Struthio camelus: one gene and its partner. The protein of the gene in region 1 interacts with the protein of each later gene in a pairwise test. Links are inferred from orthologs where the notes say so. Each region holds a gene or a part of one and is shown on either strand. Other genes may lie near its edges. The genes, in order: GAPDH and PRDX1.

Evidence for each region.
Region 2: the proteins of GAPDH (region 1) and PRDX1 interact in a two-hybrid assay, tested with the Homo sapiens proteins (2 studies listed by BioGRID and IntAct, with this or other methods). The link is inferred for Struthio camelus from reciprocal best matches to the Homo sapiens genes GAPDH and PRDX1.

The regions. Positions count from the first base shown.
Region 1 is NC_090942.1:90,955,536-90,964,712, reverse strand, and holds GAPDH (glyceraldehyde-3-phosphate dehydrogenase), read left to right. Parts: upstream 1-4,823; 5' UTR 4,824-5,013; intron 5,014-5,268; 5' UTR 5,269-5,292; coding exon 5,293-5,315; intron 5,316-5,947; coding exon 5,948-6,047; intron 6,048-6,361; coding exon 6,362-6,468; intron 6,469-6,555; coding exon 6,556-6,646; intron 6,647-6,833; coding exon 6,834-6,949; intron 6,950-7,065; coding exon 7,066-7,147; intron 7,148-7,363; coding exon 7,364-7,515; intron 7,516-7,645; coding exon 7,646-7,724; intron 7,725-8,009; coding exon 8,010-8,093; intron 8,094-8,245; coding exon 8,246-8,343; intron 8,344-8,716; coding exon 8,717-8,786; 3' UTR 8,787-9,025; downstream 9,026-9,177. UniProt on the Homo sapiens protein: Has both glyceraldehyde-3-phosphate dehydrogenase and nitrosylase activities, thereby playing a role in glycolysis and nuclear functions, respectively.
Region 2 is NC_090949.1:27,417,066-27,427,181, reverse strand, and holds the start of PRDX1 (peroxiredoxin-1), read left to right. Parts: upstream 1-6,084; 5' UTR 6,085-6,221; intron 6,222-9,247; exon of another isoform or gene 9,248-9,296; 5' UTR 9,297-9,307; coding exon 9,308-9,413; intron 9,414-10,116. UniProt on the Homo sapiens protein: Thiol-specific peroxidase that catalyzes the reduction of hydrogen peroxide and organic hydroperoxides to water and alcohols, respectively.

The DNA of each region.
Region 1 (9,177 bases):
ACGCCCCTTGCATTAAACGACAAGCAGGTATGTGGAGGGATTTCAGTATAAAATGCAATCAACTTCAACAAGTACTGTAACTGGTAGCTATCCACCATGTTCAGTGACCTGGTTCTGACACATTTCAGAGGGAGGGTGCACCCTATTAGTTTGGGATTTCCTCTCCTAAGCTCAGTACTGCTCCACTGCAGCCCCTCTTTCAGGGCCAAGAGCCCCTCTGCATATGTATGTATCAGGACACTAGCTAAGGGCTTCTTCACTTTGGTAAATCTTTTACTCTCACCCACTGCAGAAACACTGCTTATAGCTTTCAAGTCTTCCCAGCTCCCTCTTACCCAAATCCTACCCTGAGCCTCAATGCTTTGTGCTAACATTGCCTTGACCATGTGGTTCAAGAAGAAAAGCTACAGTAAATTATTTAGGATGTGAGCTAAAAAAAAAACCAAGACTGATTCTGTTCTGACTCATCGCGCAGAGGCTTTCTGAAGATGCCTTCGTCTGCTTCAGTAAACTCGCTACAGAAAGGGATGGAGCTGAACCGCACAAAGGCTCTTCAGCCTTAAGTCAGTGTCCATGCGGGGAACAGATATGGAACGGCTACTGCAGGCTGCTTCCCTGCGCAATACTGCCAGATACTGGGTCATTAGCGCCTCTGGGCCCAGCGCACCTCCTGACCTTTGCCTCTCAGCAGCCAAAGGCCGCCAGCAGTGATTGAGGGCTATAATCAGCACATCTCCACCTGCCCAGAAAGGCTAAAGACTCCCCAGTGGATGAGGAGCCCCCTTCTTCACACCTGCTCCTGCGACACTGCCATTCCTGCCCCTCTTTAGCACCAGGTATTTCGGGTAGATCCATTCACCCCCACCCCCCCCCCCCAGCCCTCTGGGAAAACAAAGGGCCAGAAAACAGTCTGAGCACATGGAAGAATAAACAGCAGCTCAGCATCAGCAAGAAGACCAAGGACTGAAGACTCAAATTACTTTCCAAGTACAGGGGGACCTGTCTGACAACAGCAAGGCAAGCAACTCGCACACAGAGGCCTAAACCAGCTTCCTACTTCGGACAGAGAAATCATTGCAGACCGTAGGAGTAGCTGGTCTAGCCCTTCCCTTGGGGATCCCCATGCCTGAATACGTCACAAACACAATGCCTCGTGTACAGACACCATTTAAGTCCTGCCTGCATCCTAGGGAAGATTTGGGGCAGCAGGACAGCAGGCTTTGGGCACATTGGGTTATCACCAGGAGAGAGAAATGAGACACAGGAGCACAGGCAATACCATTCTCACCCTTGCCTCCTCTCTGTTTATCCCACCTTCCCAGATGTTTCTTTCCCAGTTGCTGCCCCTGGACTCTGAATCCATGCTGGCTGAAGAGGACATGAAGGAAGGGTCCAGCTTTGGACCTCCGTTGCTCTCCTCCACCCTCCCTTTCCTCCCATCTGGGGCCAGAACTGCCCGACTCCCGCTCTGGCGCAAGACCCTGGCCAATCGCAAGTGGGCACTGGCTGGAGATTGGGCCTGGAAGGCCATGCCCAGGGGCTGCTTTGGACTGAAAATGGACCGGATTGGGACCTTCAGTGGTTTGGGGTGTTAGCCTTGGAGAAACTCTGAGGTGAGAGAGACAGCAGCGAGGGCAGCAGAGAAGCAAGGGGGGACTCCAGAACATAAACCATAGGGAGAACCAGGAACAGGGGGACCTGGGCAACAGGGAAGCAAGCTGAACCCAGGGGCTGATGGGGCACAGCGGGACACCGCCTGACTGCTGGTGGGCCAAAGTCAGAGAGCTTGGCTGCTACTACATGAGAGTAGTGACCTCTGGGCTACCAGCCCTCGGAGTCTGGGTGGTGAACGGGGAGCAGGTGGGTTGCACGCTGCCACGAGGCTCACAGGCATTGCTTTTGCACAGGCACAGGAGACTGAAGCGTCTGGAGAACCTGCTTGGGACAAAATGGGGATGAGCATGGCATGCCCACCGCTGAAGCCCTAAAACCCCTGCCCTAGGCTGCTGGCTGAAGGACCGCTGCAGCAGGGAAGTTATGAAGTGGTGCAAAGCGGGCTGAGCACAGGGGTTGTCCAGCTCTGCTACCGCCTGGAGCCCCAGGACCCCTCCCAGGCGTGTGCCGCCCCCCTCTCTGCTCGGCTAGCAGGTCCCGCTGCCCAGCTGGCAGGGGCTCACAGGCCTTGGCTGTTCTCTCTCCTGCCATTTGTGCTTAAGAACTGACTTGCTAATTAAAAAGAGCTGTATTGTTTGTTTGTCTCGTCCAGACTCTGCAGCATTTGCCCAAACCCCACAGCAGCACCACCTCCGCAGCAGCGACCTCGGCTGTTGTCAGGCCTCCGGTTTGTGGACAAGCGAGAGGCAGGCCAGGGACGATGCCTTTCCCCGCCGCCCTGGCACCCGCCGGCTGCCGGGAGGTGGCGGCAGAGCCCGAGACCTGGCGCAGCCCCCGGCCCGGTGGTGGCAGTGGTGGCGCAGCCCCCACGTGCTGCGGGGCCATTTTGGGTGCATGCTGCTGATCCCTGGGGGCTAGCAAACCGCAGGCCGAGGGAGCCATTTCTCAGCCCTGCGCCTCCAGCCTGCCAGTGCCGTGAGCGACCCCGTGGCTGTCCCCTTGGGGCCTAGCAGTTATATAACGGCCAGGCGGCTCCCATCACTCCGGCTAACCTCAGTGAGCCCTGAGTCTGAGATGCCTCTTCTGCCTCTCCTTCCTGCAAAGGAGAGCTGCAAAGGGCTGCAAAGACACAGCCTTACTGAAACCCTGCCGTTATGACTAGGCACTTTTCGCGCCCCCTGCCAAGCCCACGTGCACAGATTCAGCCTAATTCAGCAAGTAGGAGATGGCTGGAAGTGCAGCCGCCCGCTCTCCCAAGCCAAGCTACCCGTACCACACCCATCCTCTCCAGCAGCCAGGAGCTGAGCTCAGCCCCCGGCTGCCCCTGCAGGCCCTGCAGCCAGGGCCGCCAGGTGCCCGTCTGCCTTCCAGCACGGGCTCCAAGCAGCTAGGGTGGAGCCTTGAAATCCCGGTTGCCGGCCAGGCTCAGGGGCACGGGGCTGGGAGCTGCTGCGTTGGCTCATCCCACCTGCACTCTGTCCCCCTGCACAGAGTACTCGGCGGCACCCATGTTTGCTGAGCAAACAGTGGGCCTCCTATTTGGGCAGAAATTTAAGGCAGCCCCCAAAAGTTACCCTGACCCCTCTTCTGGCCCTTCCCAGGCTACATTTGCGATGCCTCGAATGAGGCACGGGATCCTTTGGGCTCCCTGCAACCTCCAGCTGCATCGCTGCAGCACATGAGCCATCCCACATGGCCTTTAAGAAAATGTCGTAACCTCAGCTGGGGCTAAACTTAGCTGCCTGCCCCTTGGCAGCACCGGGAATAGCAGCAGGATAAGGAGCGTTGGATTACGTCTGAGCTGGGTGACCCATCTCCAGACCCCCCCCCCCCCGGTATCTGCTTTGCTCCCCGAGCCCGCTCCGTCCTTCCCATCCTCAGGGATCCCACTCGGCTGACCCTAAAGCCCTGGCCAGCCGAGCTACAACGGGGGAAGGTTTCATCCCTCTGCCTTGCCCTATCCGGGCCCAGCTGCACATCTCCCGTATTCCCACGCGCTCCTCTCCCTGCATGCCTAAGCCGGGCGCGTGCATGCTCAGAGCTCCCTCCCCAGGGAACAGCCGCTTTGAGACATGCTCTAGGTCTCAGCGCAGAGCCGGCGGGATCCCGGCCTTGCCCCGGAGCAGCCGGCAGGCATGCAGGGCAGGGACGGCCATCATGCGAGGAGCACTCTCTCCTCACCGGCGCCCGGCCCAGGCCCTGGCCTGCCCCCAGCCAATGAACGCGCCCCGACAGCGTGGATGCGAGCCGGCAGCGCGGGGTGGTAGGCAGGATTTCCGCAGTCACGTCCCGCGAGTAGCAGCCTCCCCGGTTCCTCATTAACATGGTGCTCACGCCGCTCGGCGCAGCATGTCGAGGCCTTGGCCGGCGGCCGGGGGGAGGCTGGGTCAGCAGGCGCGCTCACAGCGCGCCTGGCTAGCGCAGCGTGGGGCAGCTCGGGGCCCTGGCAAGAGCGGGGGCAAAACAGCAGCCCCCCCCCCCCGAGAGCAGCAGGCCAAGGGCAGCACGGCCCCGCTTCCCCCCAGCGACATGTGGGGAAGAGGGGGGCTGGGCTGGGCAACCTGCTGCGCCCTCGGGATGGCCCCGGCAACAGTGCAGCCCTTCCCGCCCCCACCGGGGCCGGGGGGGCCAAAGGGGTGCAGAGAGCGGCGCACGCTGTGGCCTCCCCCCTTGTTGCCGGGCCGCCAAGGAAAGCGGCGCCCACCATGTCGCGCGGCGGCTGGGCAAGGCCCAGCAAGGCACGCGTGGCCGCACACGCGCCTGGCAGAAGCAGCCCCCGGCTAGCGAGAGGCCGGAGCCCGACACCAGGCTCCTTCCTAACCTCCCCGAACGGGGGGCTGCGGCCGCGTGGCCTCCCTTCGCAAGCCGCGGGGCTCGGGCAGGCGGCAGCCGGAGGGGCCGCGCGCGCCCTGCCAGGGGGGTGCCGGGCCCCCCAGCTCAGGTGTGCGGCGCTGAGCGCAACCCACGCACCCCGACAGCCCCGCTTCCCCCTGGGGCCAGCCATGCCCTGGCCTCCCTCCCCCCGCCCCAACATCGCACAGCGCAGAGGCCCCTCAGCGCTGGCAAGGGGCAGAGCACTGCGGTCCCCCCCCACCCCACTGCAATCCTCCCTCCCCCGAGGAGCGCTGCACCCCCCCAGCGCAGCGCAGCCCCGGGCCCCGAGGGGGCGGCGGGGGCCCCTCTGGGGGGACCTTTGCCCGCGGCCCGGTGGGGGGGGAGGGGGGCGCCGCCGCTGCCGCAGCCCCCCAGCGCACGTAGCCCGGCCCGGCCCCCGCACTCCCATTCGGCGCCGGCCCGACGGGGCGGGACCCGCCATTTCCCCTCCGCCGCTATAAAAAGCGGCGGCGCGGCGCGGCGCCACCTTCTCACTGTCCGTCAGGGCCGGGTCGGAGGCGGCAGGTAAGGGGGCTGGGGGATGGGAGGGGGGGAGACGGAAAGGCGGCGGGCGGGCGGGCAGTCCTGTTTCTGGGTGGGGGGGGGGCTGCGCTGCCGTGGGGCGGGAGCAGGGAAGCTTTGGGGGGGGGGGCGCATGGCGGCTGGGCGCCCCCGGGCACAAAGGCGGCAAGATGGCGGGGGGGGGGGGGGGAAGATTCCCTTCCCCCGGGGCGGATCGCCCCGCTCTGCGCGCCTCTCAGCGCCGCTCTCTCCCCGCAGGCACCAACATCCCTGAGAGGCGAGATGGTGAAAGTCGGAATCAACGGGTGAGTGTGCGGGGTTGGGGGGGGAGGGGAGAGGAGCGGGCGGGTGGGCGGGCGCGGGGGAGGCGCAAGGTGGCGCCAAGGACGCGCGGATGAGCCGTTGCGCGCCGCGCCGCGGGGCAACTCGTCCCCCCTGGGGTAGCGGCCCCGGCGAGGGCGGGGCACTGAGTCACTTCCCCCTTTTCCCCCCCGGCCGAGTCGGGCTGAGTCACCCTGCGCGGCGAGCGCCCGCGGCCCGGCTCGCCTTGCCTTGTCCTGCCCGGCCCTGCCGGGTGCCACCGCTCGGGGCCGGGCTGGTGACCCCCGTCGGAAGGATGCCAGGGAGATCGTGTGTCGCAGGAGCCCCGGGGGCCCTGGGGAATGTGACCTTCTCCCACCGTGCTGTGAGGAGTAACCGGATCCTGCAGTAAATTTAGCGCCTGACCTTTCCTGCGCGGCTGCCCCAAGCAGGGGTCGCTCTTAATCTTCAATTGGGGCTCCTTGGCCTTTGAACGCAGCTGATGGGCTCCCTTCTGCCCCTCTGGGCAGGGAGCAGCCGATGTCCCAGAGGGAAAGCCATGGACTGTTATGCCCTGCCTTGCCCAGCCAGCCAGGCTCCTTGCTCCTCCTACTTATCTGTGCATCTCTCTCCCCAGATTTGGCCGCATTGGCCGCCTGGTCACCAGGGCTGCCATCCTCTCTGGCAAAGTTCAAGTGGTGGCCATCAACGATCCCTTCATTGATCTGAACTACATGGTGAGTTGCCTCGTGGTGTCTCCTCCAGGCCTTCTATGCAGTTTGCCTCTTGCAGTGGGGCAGTGGACTCCCCTAGCTCTGTTCTGGCAGCTCCCCATGGATGTCAGGTGTGGGGCTGTGGGTGGAATGAGAGAGACAAAGCGTAGGGTTGTGGGCCCAGCAGATTTGGTGGAGCCGAGTACAGAGCAGCAGTTGGATCAGCTCACTGGAGAACTCTGGGATCTGTGATTGCAAGAGCAAGGGATGGGGGGTTGCAGCTAGGGTGCCTGACCTCTTCCCCCCCCCCCCCCCGCCCCCTTCTCTCTCCTTGCTAGGTTTACATGTTCAAATATGACTCTACTCATGGTCACTTCCGGGGCACTGTCAAGGCTGAGAATGGGAAACTTGTGATTAATGGGAACCCCATCACCATCTTCCAGGAGTAAGTATCTCTTTCTCCCTCTCATCCCTTGGAAGGGTGAAAACAGATCTCTCACAGAGCAACTCTTATGATTTTGTCCCTCCTCAGGCGTGACCCCAGCAACATCAAGTGGGGAGAAGCTGGTGCTGAATACGTTGTGGAGTCCACTGGTGTCTTCACCACTACAGAGAAGGCTAGCGTGAGTAGGCCAGTGGCATGTGGGAGAAAGGACGCTTGCTGCTCCTACCTGTGGGGCACATCACCATGTACAGAGTTCAAGATGTGGAGGAGATGGCTGGGAGGGAGAAGAGGGTGTCTGAGGAAGTATCTTGCTCTCCAAGCTGTTGGGGTATTCTGGGTTAACTGATCTCCTTCTCTTCTCACAGGCTCACCTGAAGGGTGGCGCTAAGCGTGTTATCATCTCTGCCCCCTCAGCTGATGCTCCCATGTTTGTGATGGGTGTCAATCATGACAAGTATGACAAGTCGCTGAAAATTGTCAGGTAAGGAGAGAAGAGGATGCTCTCTGGCCTGGAACTTTCACCAGCTGCATGGGGTCTCATCTTTCATGGGTAGGTATACTGCCTCTGGTTGATGTGTGTCTTTCTCTTTTCCTCAGCAATGCCTCTTGCACCACCAACTGCTTGGCGCCCTTGGCCAAGGTCATCCATGACAACTTTGGCATCGTGGAGGGTCTTATGGTAGGTCTAAAGCCTGCTGCTTAGTGTGTCCTATCCCCACGTTTCTTCATGTGAGAAGAGAAGTAACTGTCCACGGGCTCTGTGTTTGTGAGGGGTGTAAACTCACACAGTAAGAGGGCTAGCCTCCCTGTGTTCCTTGGGATGGGGAGTTAAGCATTCAGGATGTTTTTTGAAAGTTATTGGCTGTGTTCTTATTCCTGTGCTCTCTTCCCCAAGACCACTGTCCATGCCATCACAGCCACACAGAAGACAGTGGATGGCCCCTCTGGGAAGCAGTGGAGGGATGGCAGAGGTGCTGCCCAGAACATTATCCCAGCATCCACTGGGGCTGCTAAGGCTGTAGGAAAGGTCATCCCTGAGCTCAATGGGTGAGTGTCAGCCCTTCTCAGGTGTCGGAAGGAGGTAGACAGTGCCTGGCTGGCTCTGGCCCATTCCTAGCGGAATAGAAGGCTGGCAGAGGGGTGCTGACTGCTGTTCTGACTCTTACCTCTCTGACAGGAAACTTACTGGAATGGCTTTCCGTGTGCCAACCCCAAATGTCTCTGTTGTGGACCTGACCTGCCGTCTGGAAAAACCAGTGAGTGTTGTGGGGAAGGCCTTAACCTCCAAACCTGCTCCTGCTTCCTCCAAATTCCTCTTATCTAGAATTGCCCCCTCTACATCTGTGTCTTCCTCCCACACTCTTCCCACTCAGCCCTGGTGATGACCAGGAATACTTGGTCTTGGCAAGAATAGCACCTGCTGTGCTGCTCCCAGTATCTGGGCTGTAGCTGTGTCATTCCTCTCTACCCCCTTCCCTGGCCCAGCTGACAATTTTGTGTGAATTGGGATCTGACCCTCTTAATGTTGTCTCTATTCTCAGGCCAAGTATGATGACATTAAGAGGGTAGTGAAGGCTGCTGCTGATGGGCCCTTGAAGGGCATCCTGGCATACACAGAGGACCAGGTAAACAGCTTTCAGTGTCTCAGCCTGTGGTTGGTAGCACTCTCGTCTTCCTGCTGGGAGCTGCCTTGCTGGGATTCTGCTTATGGCACTCCTGGGTCAGGCTGCCTCCATCTGTGGGGTGGAGGACTGAGTTAGAATCTCCTCTCTTCCAGGTTGTCTCCTGTGACTTCAATGGTGACAGCCATTCCTCCACCTTTGATGCAGGTGCTGGCATTGCACTGAATGATCACTTCGTGAAGTTGGTTTCCTGGTATGCACAGCCTGGGGGGTGTGGAAGGGAGCACTTGAGCTCTTGGTGGGAGGGTGGGAGCTGGCAGTTGTCCCAGGTTTTTTGTTCTGTTCACCACCACCAGCTGGCATTGTATACTGATAAATCTACTGCTGCTGAGTGGGGTGGCTCCAACACCTAAAAGTCTTAGGAGTGATGTTGCTTCATATCTGACAACTGCAGCCTTTTCCTTCCCTTACGGGAGAGTGGATGGGGTGCTGCTTGTTTTCTGTATCGGGAAATAGCCCTTCTGCCTCCCTTTTCTGAGCCGCGGTAGAGGAGCAGTACTCTTATATAGGATGGTGTGATGCAAGAAACAGTCCAGAAAGCTCAGCTCTTGTGTTTCTGCCTCCAGGTATGACAATGAGTATGGATACAGCAACCGTGTTGTGGACTTGATGGTCCACATGGCTTCCAAGGAGTGAGCCAAACACACGAGACACCCCCCCCCTGCTGCCTAGGGAAGCAGGACTCTCCTTTGCTAGAGACCCTGCCCTTTTCACCACCACTTAGCTCTGCAGCCTGCAGTGAGAGGCCAGTTCTGTTCCCTTCTGCCTCCCCCACTTCTCCAACTTGCCCCTGAGCCTGGGGGAGATGGTGAGGCTGATAGAAACTGATCTGTTTCTTTACCACCTTACATCAATAAAGTGTTCACCATCTGAAACATCTTGTCTGTCTGTCAATGGGGGAAGGTGGAGGAAAACAGCAAGTGTTGTGTCTGCTCTAAGATAGGTCCTAGCAGCCTGGCTGTAACTGTTGGACCAGCTGTTCCATGTACTAGTAAAGTGTTCTGTGCCCAATGTGCTACTGACAGCA
Region 2 (10,116 bases), on another chromosome or scaffold:
GTAAGCACTGATCGGGCAGAAGGGGGCAAGAGATGTTTTTGTTAGCGCTTAGCATATGGTAATTCCATAGGACTCAGGCACTAAGCTAGCTAGTGCCTGGCTCAGGAACCAAGCTTGAATTACTGCTGCAATTAGGAAAAAGCAAACGTTGTCTACAACATCTGCTGCAGGTTAAGATTTGAAGACCTGATACAGGCAGGGTTTTGATTAGGGATGCATGGTGAAGGCATTTGTGAAAATTGAACTAGAGCTTACTATCAAGGCTAACTCTATCTGGCATTCTGAAGAAAACCTAATACTTTCTGGCTTGCTTTGCAACTAGCATATCTGTTCATGAATTAATGACACATCTGCGAAAGGTAAAATGTTACTAAGTCAGAACATTAGTGGGGGGTTTTTTGATCGTTAGGGGAGGGCAAAACGGAGCCACTTTCAACAGTGGACACCAGAAAATAAATCTCAGTAGGCAGATCACACAAAACTGGTGGATACATAATTTATGGGGTTTTTGATCACTCTGTGACATAGCAGTGCGAAAAATAGAGCTAAAACGCAGTAGGTCCTTACACAGATTTGGGCATTTTGAATCCCAGAATAACTTTCTGTCTTCCTGCTCTTCCCTGTCTTCCTACTCGATCAGAAAGGGATACTATTTTTTTTAAAGATGAAAGATTGTCTGTTCCCATATCACTGAAACCATGTACGTGTACTGAACCTTTTTTCTGCAGAAAATTAGAGAGTAAGAGCTCAACTCTTGCATGGAACGTTTCGAGTACAGACAACGTAACAGCTATTATTGCCATTGTAGAAAGGGTCATACACTGATTTAGCACAAATTCACAGAGCAGCAGCATTCTTTTCTTGCTAAAGGGAGAATGGCAAAAAAGGATGCAAAGCAAATAGCCGTTTTGAGCCTGGGCTTCTCTCTCACGCTTAATACTATGATAGCCAAGCGTTTCCCATGTGAAATTCAATAGAAGATCCTACTGGAACCTTTGTTCGGTTTTCAATTGCTGGTGTTATAGCTGTTGCACCCAGCAATCTGCTTACAGTGGAAAAGCTTTTTAATCAAAAAGGAAGGTTTTGCAGTGTATTCCAACATCCTCACAGTACATCTTGTGAAATTATTAAAAAGAAACCACATTCAGGATGTGTTCCAGAGCCAGCTAGCCTATTTCAGCAGAAGCTGAGGAAGTTGTTTCCCAAGTTCAGCAATGCCCAAACTAGTTTTGTATTTTCAAACAGATAACATTCACAAGAGCGGAAGCATGCAACGCTGGTTTTCAGATCATCTATGTAGGAGGAATGTATGTCTTCCAAGTAAAGCATTCACACAGCACACTACCCCAAAATAGCTCTGCCTTTTCCACAACATTGTGATCACCTTCCTCATACAGGCAGTCCTTACTGACAGATTTGGTAACACAGAAAGTTTGTATTTTTAATTTCACGCTTAGCTTCTCAGGGCATATTTTGGTAGATTTACGCTACATAGACACGTAACAGCACGCTTGTTTTACAAAGAGACAGAGTAGTTCAACATGAATTAGTGGTTTGGGATCTGCACTGAGATGCATTAAGTCAATATGTTGGTGTTGAAGGCAGTCACTGTTAATTAGATTGTGGGTGCACATGGGTTATTTGAGGTAAGAAGTCAGAGAAGCAGAACGCGACACTGAACATGTGAACAACATTCCCTGAATCAGCGTAGCTGTTTTGCAGGCAGTGCACACAAGTGGACACTCATATTTTTACCTGGATGTAACCACCTAAATAAAAGCATCTCCTCAAATCATGCAATGCAACTAGAAACTTTTTGATTCACCTTGGCCCATAACACAAATAACATACAAACTACCACACTTCACACAAACATCTTACACAACCATCCTAAACGTAGCACTTCAGCCCAGAAGACAAGGTACATGTGTTTAATCAGTAACTGGCATCAGCACATTTGCAAAGAATCATTTCACTTCATGTAACAGTGTTGTACATTAACATCGCAGAGATAGCAGAAGTAGAGACTCTGGAAGAATGGAAAAGTTCCAGAACTAGACACTCTAGAAGAACAATTAATACTTTCCACTCAGACTCTTCTCCTAACAAGAGGATGTAAGGAAACTACAGTGTCCACTCATCATCACTACTTGGATCAGTAAGAAGTGGGAAGCTTTTTTTTTTTTGGTAACACTAAGAACAAAAATAAATATAAAAGCACACCAATTCTGAACAAGTAAAATGTGGGTTTAGATTAACAACACTTGCCTCTCCTGTTCCCACACTCATCTAGAGGAGTAAAGCCCAGAGTGATTCAAAAGCCACGTAGGTAGCCTGACTGGGAGTAGTTATTAATAACCAGAAAAGTGTAACCTACATTAGTTTATCAGCCTATAGATAAAGCTCATTTTTAATCCAAAGTAACGAGTCTTCCACCTTCAAAAAAAAAAAAACAAACCAAAACAAAACAAAAGTGGAAGAAAACACAGAAGCCCCGGTACGCGATCGCCTTTGCCCGGCAGTTCGGGTACCAGCTCCCCACGCCTGGGCGCCTCCTCATCCCTCCCCGAGCTCCGGCGGCGCCCGCAGCAGGGCGGCGCAGACGGACACGGACACGGGGCGCCGCGGCGGCCCTGCGCGCCCGCAGCCGCACTCACCCGCCGCTCGCTCGGTCCCTCGCTCCCTCGCACCGCTGCCGCCCGCCCGCCCGTGCCGGCACCGCCGCCGCCGCTGCCCGCCGCTTCCGTTTCCGGCCGCGACCTGCCAGGCGGCAGCCGGGCCAGCCCCCGCCGCCCTGCGCGGGGAGCAGCGAGCAGGCGCGGCTGTTCGGCCTTCCGCGCTGCTTTGCAAACCGTCTCCCCGGCCCGCCCTCGGCAACGTGCGCTTTTCGTGGCGGCGGGGAAGGGGAGGTTGCTTGTACTGTGCAAAGCATGTCACCCAGCCTAAAAAACGCAAGATAGTTCCTTTCAAGAAAAGGACCCCCCTCCCCCAAATCGGGCAATGAGTGTCGCTGCTAGGAAGGGAGGAGTTTGCCTCTGCCGTGGCAAGGGGCTCTTGCAGGCCTCCCCTGCTGGCATGTGTTTTGAAGCCGGCTGCCGTGTCCCGCTGCGAGGCCTCGCGGGCCTGGCTGCCAGCCTGCCATGCCATCGGTGCCAGCCTCCTCTCGGTTAATTCTCCAGCTTTGCTCTGTTTATTTTTCCTCTGCTGTCTGTTCGGTTCCCAGCAGGAAAGTCAAACTGCTCAGACTCTCCCCTTCACAGCACGTTGAGTAATGCATCTCATAGTCTGCAGCACACAAAGGGAAATTGCAAACAAAACATAACCATCAGGATTAGGTACCTTAGCTGGTAGGAAGACAGAATTTTTCCTCTGTTTTAATGTGCAATCCTAAATATTAGGAATCCAGGGAATGTGCAAGGCTGGTAAAATTCATTTTGCTTTAGCTTTTTTGCTAAAAGGTGCAACAAAGAGAAAGAAGTGGTAGTTCCTGAGGGGGCATGGGCACCTTTTAATGCAGGTGCACAAGAGTGCATTTCCTTATTTGTGCAAGAAGGTTGAGAGTAAGGTTTAACTACATTAAAAACATGACTGAATTTAATTTAGAATCATTAGTCCTGAGTACGTACAGTCTTGCTAAGTCAAAGACACAACTTCTATTGGCTTGAACAGGAGCAGAATTTGGCCTGTAACTGAGAGAAGAGCATCCCTAGGTGTACTGCACTCTGTACTTAACCACAACTAAAGACAATTACAACCAGTTTTGAGTTTTACTCCAAGCTTCCATTCTTATAAGTAATATATAAACTTTGAGAATCTGAAAAGTACAGTAAGATCCTATCAGAAATACAAGCAAAATACATATCTAACAGAGCTTTGAAGAGGATGTTATTTCCTTTCGGAAAGATCACTCTGCTGCAGATTCTTTTATTGTTGTTCTGACCTAAACCATCCCAGAGACTTAAAGGAACAAAGGTTAATTATGCTCTTGGGCAGTCACATGACCAGATTTTTCTGTGGTGCAGCCTGTTTAGGCAAAATGCAGGAAAACGGAAAGAGAGTGCAAGGAAAATGCAACAAAAAGTAACATGGCGGGAAATACAAAACTGGGAAGGAGGAGAGAATAAAGGGGAGGGAGAGCGCTGGGTTTGGTTTGCTTTTAGGAAGACACTGCCAATCACAGATCATTTGAAAATAACAGTCTTAACACTGTGGAAGATGCTTGAATTATATGAATGCTAAGTAATAAAACTTTAACAAACCTCAGCCTCCAATAATATAGAGAGAGTAAAAGAGAGAAGGGAAAGAAGATAAAATCCTTTTGTCGTCAAAAGGAAGTGATCATCCAAGCATACAGTCATAAAAATTATTTAAAAACAGGTATGTAGGGAAGGGAAAGGTGACATGGACATTTTAACCTAGAAACACAGTCTTCATTTGAACTAAAGAAGAAAAAGCAAATATGTGCCCTATATATTTAATTATGTATAATCGTTTTCATGAAATCCAGTGTGCACCAACTGCTTAGGCATATATGCCCAGGGGCTTGAGAATATTTCAGTCATTAGACTTTTTTGCCTATATTATATTCAACTGTCCACAAAAGGTCAGGATTTTTCTCTTACTACGCCCCTGAGGGTACTGCACATATACAATAAATTCATTATGTTCAGGATTCAGGGGGCTTTCTGCATGTGCAGACTGCCTGATGTTTCTGAGGTTAACCTGTTGCCGGGGATCATGGCCTGAGTTGATAGGTAGGTATATACATTCCTCAATTTATAGACCTCAGTTGTCCTAACATTGACTGAGGCACATTAAGAAAGTTTCATTTCTCTTCTATAAAAGATTAAGTGTGTTGTAACAATAGAGATCCCAGTAGATAACATCTTTGCATTAAGGCGAATGCATATATTTTTTAATATACATATACAGGTTATGTTGCTTTTTACATATCAAAGAGTAATTTCATCCAGTATTAAAACCAGTCATCTCCTGGGTGAATCACCACAGGAGGTATGGTCACTGAGCAACACTACACAGTAGTGTAGATTAGATTGTTTAACATTCAAAATTTGTTAATCCTTTGTGGTTTTCTCCACAGTACAATTCGTAATCATGTTTTAACAGGTATAAGGAACATGACTTTGTGAAATAGACAAGGAGTAAAAGTCAGTTGGTAAACAAGTTTATCACTTCTGACTACAGCAAGCCATTTTGTTGTTGATATGCCCTTTATAGCCTTTAACACTACCTGTTTAATAAAACTTAAATATTAACATTCAAATTTTGTACCTCAGTCAAAAATACAAGGTTTCAGTTCAGTCTTAGATCCAAACTCAATGCGTGTGGGAATTCACTCAGGCTAAATGTCTCAGAGTAGATTTGCTCTGGGAAGGATACAAGGCTGCCTTGAAGTGAATAAATGCCTCTTCCGAGAGTTTTCATCCTGCACCCCGAAGCTCTGAGACCATGCTTAATTTAATTTTTGGCTTTATTCCTGACTTACATGGCTTGCACCAGGCTTCCCACTGATGGAATCAATGAAAGCCTTAAGAATTAGTATCAGGTTGAAGAGGCAGTTTATAATAGAAAGGGAGGTGAAACCTCCCCCTCTGCAATAATTTCTGAGCGTGTACATTGTTTGGCTAATAGAAAGTCTGATTTTATTGATATTAAAGTCAATGGCAAAACTCCCATCCACCTAAATGGCACACTAGTCATATCCATCTGGATATTCAAAATCGAGTGCGTCCTCTGTCTCTTTTTTTGGCTACTGACTTTTAACTAATTATACCTTGTTCATATTAAGGCATTAAAAAAAAAAAAAAGCTTCTTCTTGCAAAGAGCCATTCAAACCACCTTCCCACTAACTGTTTATGACTATTGCACTGGATGTTTTCGTGCCACCTCCCGGGACGCTATCCGTACAAACAGCTCCATTTATTCAAATTCTCTTGCCGCTTGTAACAGCCAGGGCAGCATCTCCGTTGCGATAAGCGGCCGGCAGCTCGCTATCGAGCAAGGCGCTCGCCCGAATGTGCCAAGTCATGCTGCCCTTGCACGGGGCGGCCCGGGCGGGCGGCGGCCGGGCCCCCCGCGCCGCGCCGTGTCCTCGCGAGAGCGGGGCGGCTATAAAGGCGGCGGCGCGGCGGGGGCTGCGGCAGCGCGGAGCTTCCTGCAGGCGTGTGGAGGAGGGAGCTGCGAGCCGCTCGCCCTTTTGTGTAAGCGCCCGGGTGGGGGGGGGGGGGGGGAGGGTGCGCACCTGCCGCGGGGCAACGGGTGCGGTATGCTGGATTGTTCGGCGAGTTATATTTTTTTGTTTGTTCCCCCCCCCCGGATTTTGCTTTCCGCTCTGCGCGGTTGGGGTCGCAAAAGAGGGGCGCGGAGGCGGTGCAGGGTGAGCTCTCGCTCTCTGCCGCCTTTCCCCCCCGAGGAGGGGTCCGACCTTCTCCCGCTGTGGTTTTTTCTCTCGGTCTCTCTCGTTTTTGTGGGGGTGGGGAGAGAGAAGGGGAGGTTGTTAACCCTTTCTTAGGCGCTCGCCGTTATCTGCTTTCTCCCCGCTGCTTGCTGGCGAGGGCTCGCAGGGTGATGCGCGCAGCCGGGCTGGGGCGCGCCCGCGGGGAGCGGCTCCGGCAGCAGCGCGGAGCGGTGCAGCCCGCGGGCGGCCTTGCAGCCCACCCGCCGCCCTGGTGTCCTGAAAGCTTCGCATAACAGTGGTGTGATCCACAAGCACGTAGGCCTCTGATCTTGAAGCTTAAAGAAGGGGCTGTGTGGCTGGGTTGAAGGAGTTTGCTGTGTGGGCGTGCAGGGGGCTGCAGTCCTTTGTCACAGAGCAATTTAGTGACCTTTGTGCCGGTGACTGCTTAGGGTTTCCTTCTGAACTTTTTCAGCAAAATAAGTTTAGTGGTCTGTGTATACCTGGCTGTGGTATATCTGAACCGAGGAGGTCTGTGACAATATCACTCTTAATTTCTGACCGCAGCTCAGTGACTTAACCACACTTTTGTGGCAATCTGAAGGTAGTGAAGGGGAAGGCTGGATGGTGTGTTTTGAAGTGTCCTTCTGCTATGGTTCAAATACTGTAAAGCAATGAATTTCTGGTTAGAGTTCTGGACTAGTTTATTATAACTGCCATTTGGAGATAATTGAGGCTGTGTGCAGTTATGACTGCTAAAAGATATTCTGACCTGATTAAACTGTACTTGATTTGTAGTGTTTATATCCTTTTTCTCTAGGAGGAAAGGAAATAGAGTACTGAATCTGTGTCCTGTTCCCCCGTGGGTTAGGAAACGCTGTGGTTAAGTCCAAGCAGAACATGTGAGAACACGTACTAACCCTGCATAGAAAAGCAGAGATGTTGGCAGGTTGCAGCGGGTGCTCCAAAGAAAGCAGATGGCTCTCTTGCAGTACGGCGCAGCTATGTCTCCTAAGCTGACACTGAACACCTTACTGTGTTATATGAAAGGGGGATAACATCTTGTAGCTTAGAGAGGGGCAGTATCAAAGAGCAAGTTTGACAGCTTTTGTTATTGGACATTGAATCCCTAGTAAACCATTCCAGGGGACTTGCTGATGGGACAGATAGAGGAGGACTAGCATACTACTGAGCAAGTGGATGACCTTGAGCTTGAGTAATAGGAAAAAATGGAATTTGGTGATATATACAATGCAGGGTCATGCACTCCAGACTAAACAGCTATTGCTTATAAGATAAAACTCACTAGTTGGAGGCATCTCAAAGAAAATACTGTGCAATGACTGTCTATCCCCCCTGACCCTCCAGAACTGTAGTCCTAGAATTGCATCTGCATTCATGGTTACATTAGATGTACAGCAGAAGTATTAATATCTGTCTACTAGACCACCTTTTCAGTAGGATCCCACAAACATGCTGTAGTATGGTTTCGGTGCCCTTGATTCATCAGACTTGCTCAGTGTGCTGCAGTTGAACTGCCTGGATGAACAAGGGGGTGAAGAGCTTGTTGCAGGAGGGGGTTAAAAGGGTGAAGGCTGAGAGATAGCTGATTACTATATACTGTGAGGATATGCAAGAAAACCTTTCAAAGATAAAAACAGTGCTAGTAAAAAGGCTAAACTGGGCAGTTTAAACTGGAGTTGAAAACTAAAGGCTTATGACTTCTGGACTAGTCCTTTAGGAGGAATGTGGCTGCCAAAGGAGAAGGAGCCAAGAAATGAGGTGTGCTGGAGCTGCTTAAAAACAGACTTTGTGCCTTGCCAGCAAGACCTAGAAGGATCCTTGAAATCTCTACTTTCACTTGCAACGTGAGACTCGTATTAACCTTTCAGAGGCTAGTGTCTCCAAGTCAACTAGATGTTTATAACCACTAACTAGGTGAATTAACTGCACAACGTTTCTGTGAGCTGAAGAAGTAAGGGTCACAAGTGTTATCTCTGAAAGATTACACTTCTGAAGTAACTGGAATTCTAAGGTGATAGATACACAAGTACTGTATTCCCAGACTGACAGAGCAAAAGAAACACTGTACAAGACCTGGTACAATGTGTGGCAATAGCATTTAAGGCAGGCAACTTGAAGTACAGTTTTTGTCCTTATGCCCCCCTCTTTAGTGGGAGACTTGAAATAAACAGGGGGAAAAAAAGAAAACACCTAAACCCTGGCCTTACTAGTTTAAGACTTGGTACAACTTTAATTGTCAACTGTCAACATAAAACGTTATTCCCAAGTGTCCTGTGAGTCTTCCAGTTGCAAATAAAATTTATTTTTTTTAAAGGCTGCAGTGTAGTTATAGGGTATTGTTCTTGGGAGGTTAACAAATGTTCTTTTGTTCCGGAATCAATAGGAAGATAAAATTCAAGGTCTCAACTTCCCTTGTAAACCTGAACAAGGGTCTCCTCACTTAAGTCTAATTTTTTGAATTTAACTTGTTCAAAGTGAAACTGGAAGTGTTATCGAATGCTCTAGAACTCTAGTTCTTTAGCAGACTCTGAGCTGTTATCTGGTCAGAGATAATTACTGTTACTTGCTTAGGAGAGTAATGATCTATAAATCTTGTATAGTTAGCAATTTAGTTAATAGCTTGGTCTGGATACCTACATATTTATCTGACTGCATTGCTTCTTGAGATTAAAAACACGTTGCTTTGACTGGACTACCCAAGAAACTAATCTTGCTCTTGGGCCCTGCGTTGCAAGACCAACTGCTGATACACTGTCCCTGTTGATACTTGTTCTAAATTGATAAGATGCTTTGACTATTTGCTTTTAGGCACAAACATAGCGCTATCTTAACTGTGCCAGTTACAACTCTGTTCTAGACCAAATCAAGATGTCTTCAGGAAAGGCATTCATTGGAAAACCAGCCCCTGACTTTACTGCCACGGCTGTAATGCCAGATGGACAATTCAAAGACATCAAACTCTCTGATTATAAAGGTAAGCTGATCTGCTTCTCTAATTACACAAATACACTATCTTGCGTTTGAAGGTGGGGAGGGCGTCTTAAGTAAGACAGCTTTAATTCCGTTCCAAAGTAATGGTGAACACTGGTGGTAGACTGAAGTATGTAATAACTTGTGCAGTGATTCTGTTGAGTGATGGCTGGAGAAAGCTTAGGAAGCTGTAGGGAGGCTGTTAACAGCATGGCCAAATATCCCAACTATAATTCCTGCTAATCAACATAAAATTCCCTTAAACCGTAATGCTGCATCAGGCTTATCTGGCTTTTTTGTAATATGATTAAGAAGATGCACTATCTCCAGTGTTGTGTGGAATAACAATATCTTGTCTCTTATGGGTTTTCTGGCAGTGGGAAGTGTGCCCTTTCAGCTAACCAATCATATTCCTTTCTCTAGAGTACGACAAAAATGTCTGCCTTGCAGAAAAAGCTCATTTAAATACAAGTGAAAGGCTTAAGTAATCAAGTGCTGATGCAGATAAATGTAGAAAGAGGCACCTCTAGCTGAAGGTTCCTTGCTCTCAGGTGGTGTGAAGGCAGTTATTAGGTGTAGACTAGTCACCTGAACAGTTGAAATGTCTCTTGGCCTCTGTCCTTTCAGGCACATGGCATCCTGCATTCTGTAAGTAATCAACTGCAGGGTCTCCTGGTGTAGGTACTAGGTGTACTCTGAGCAGGCCT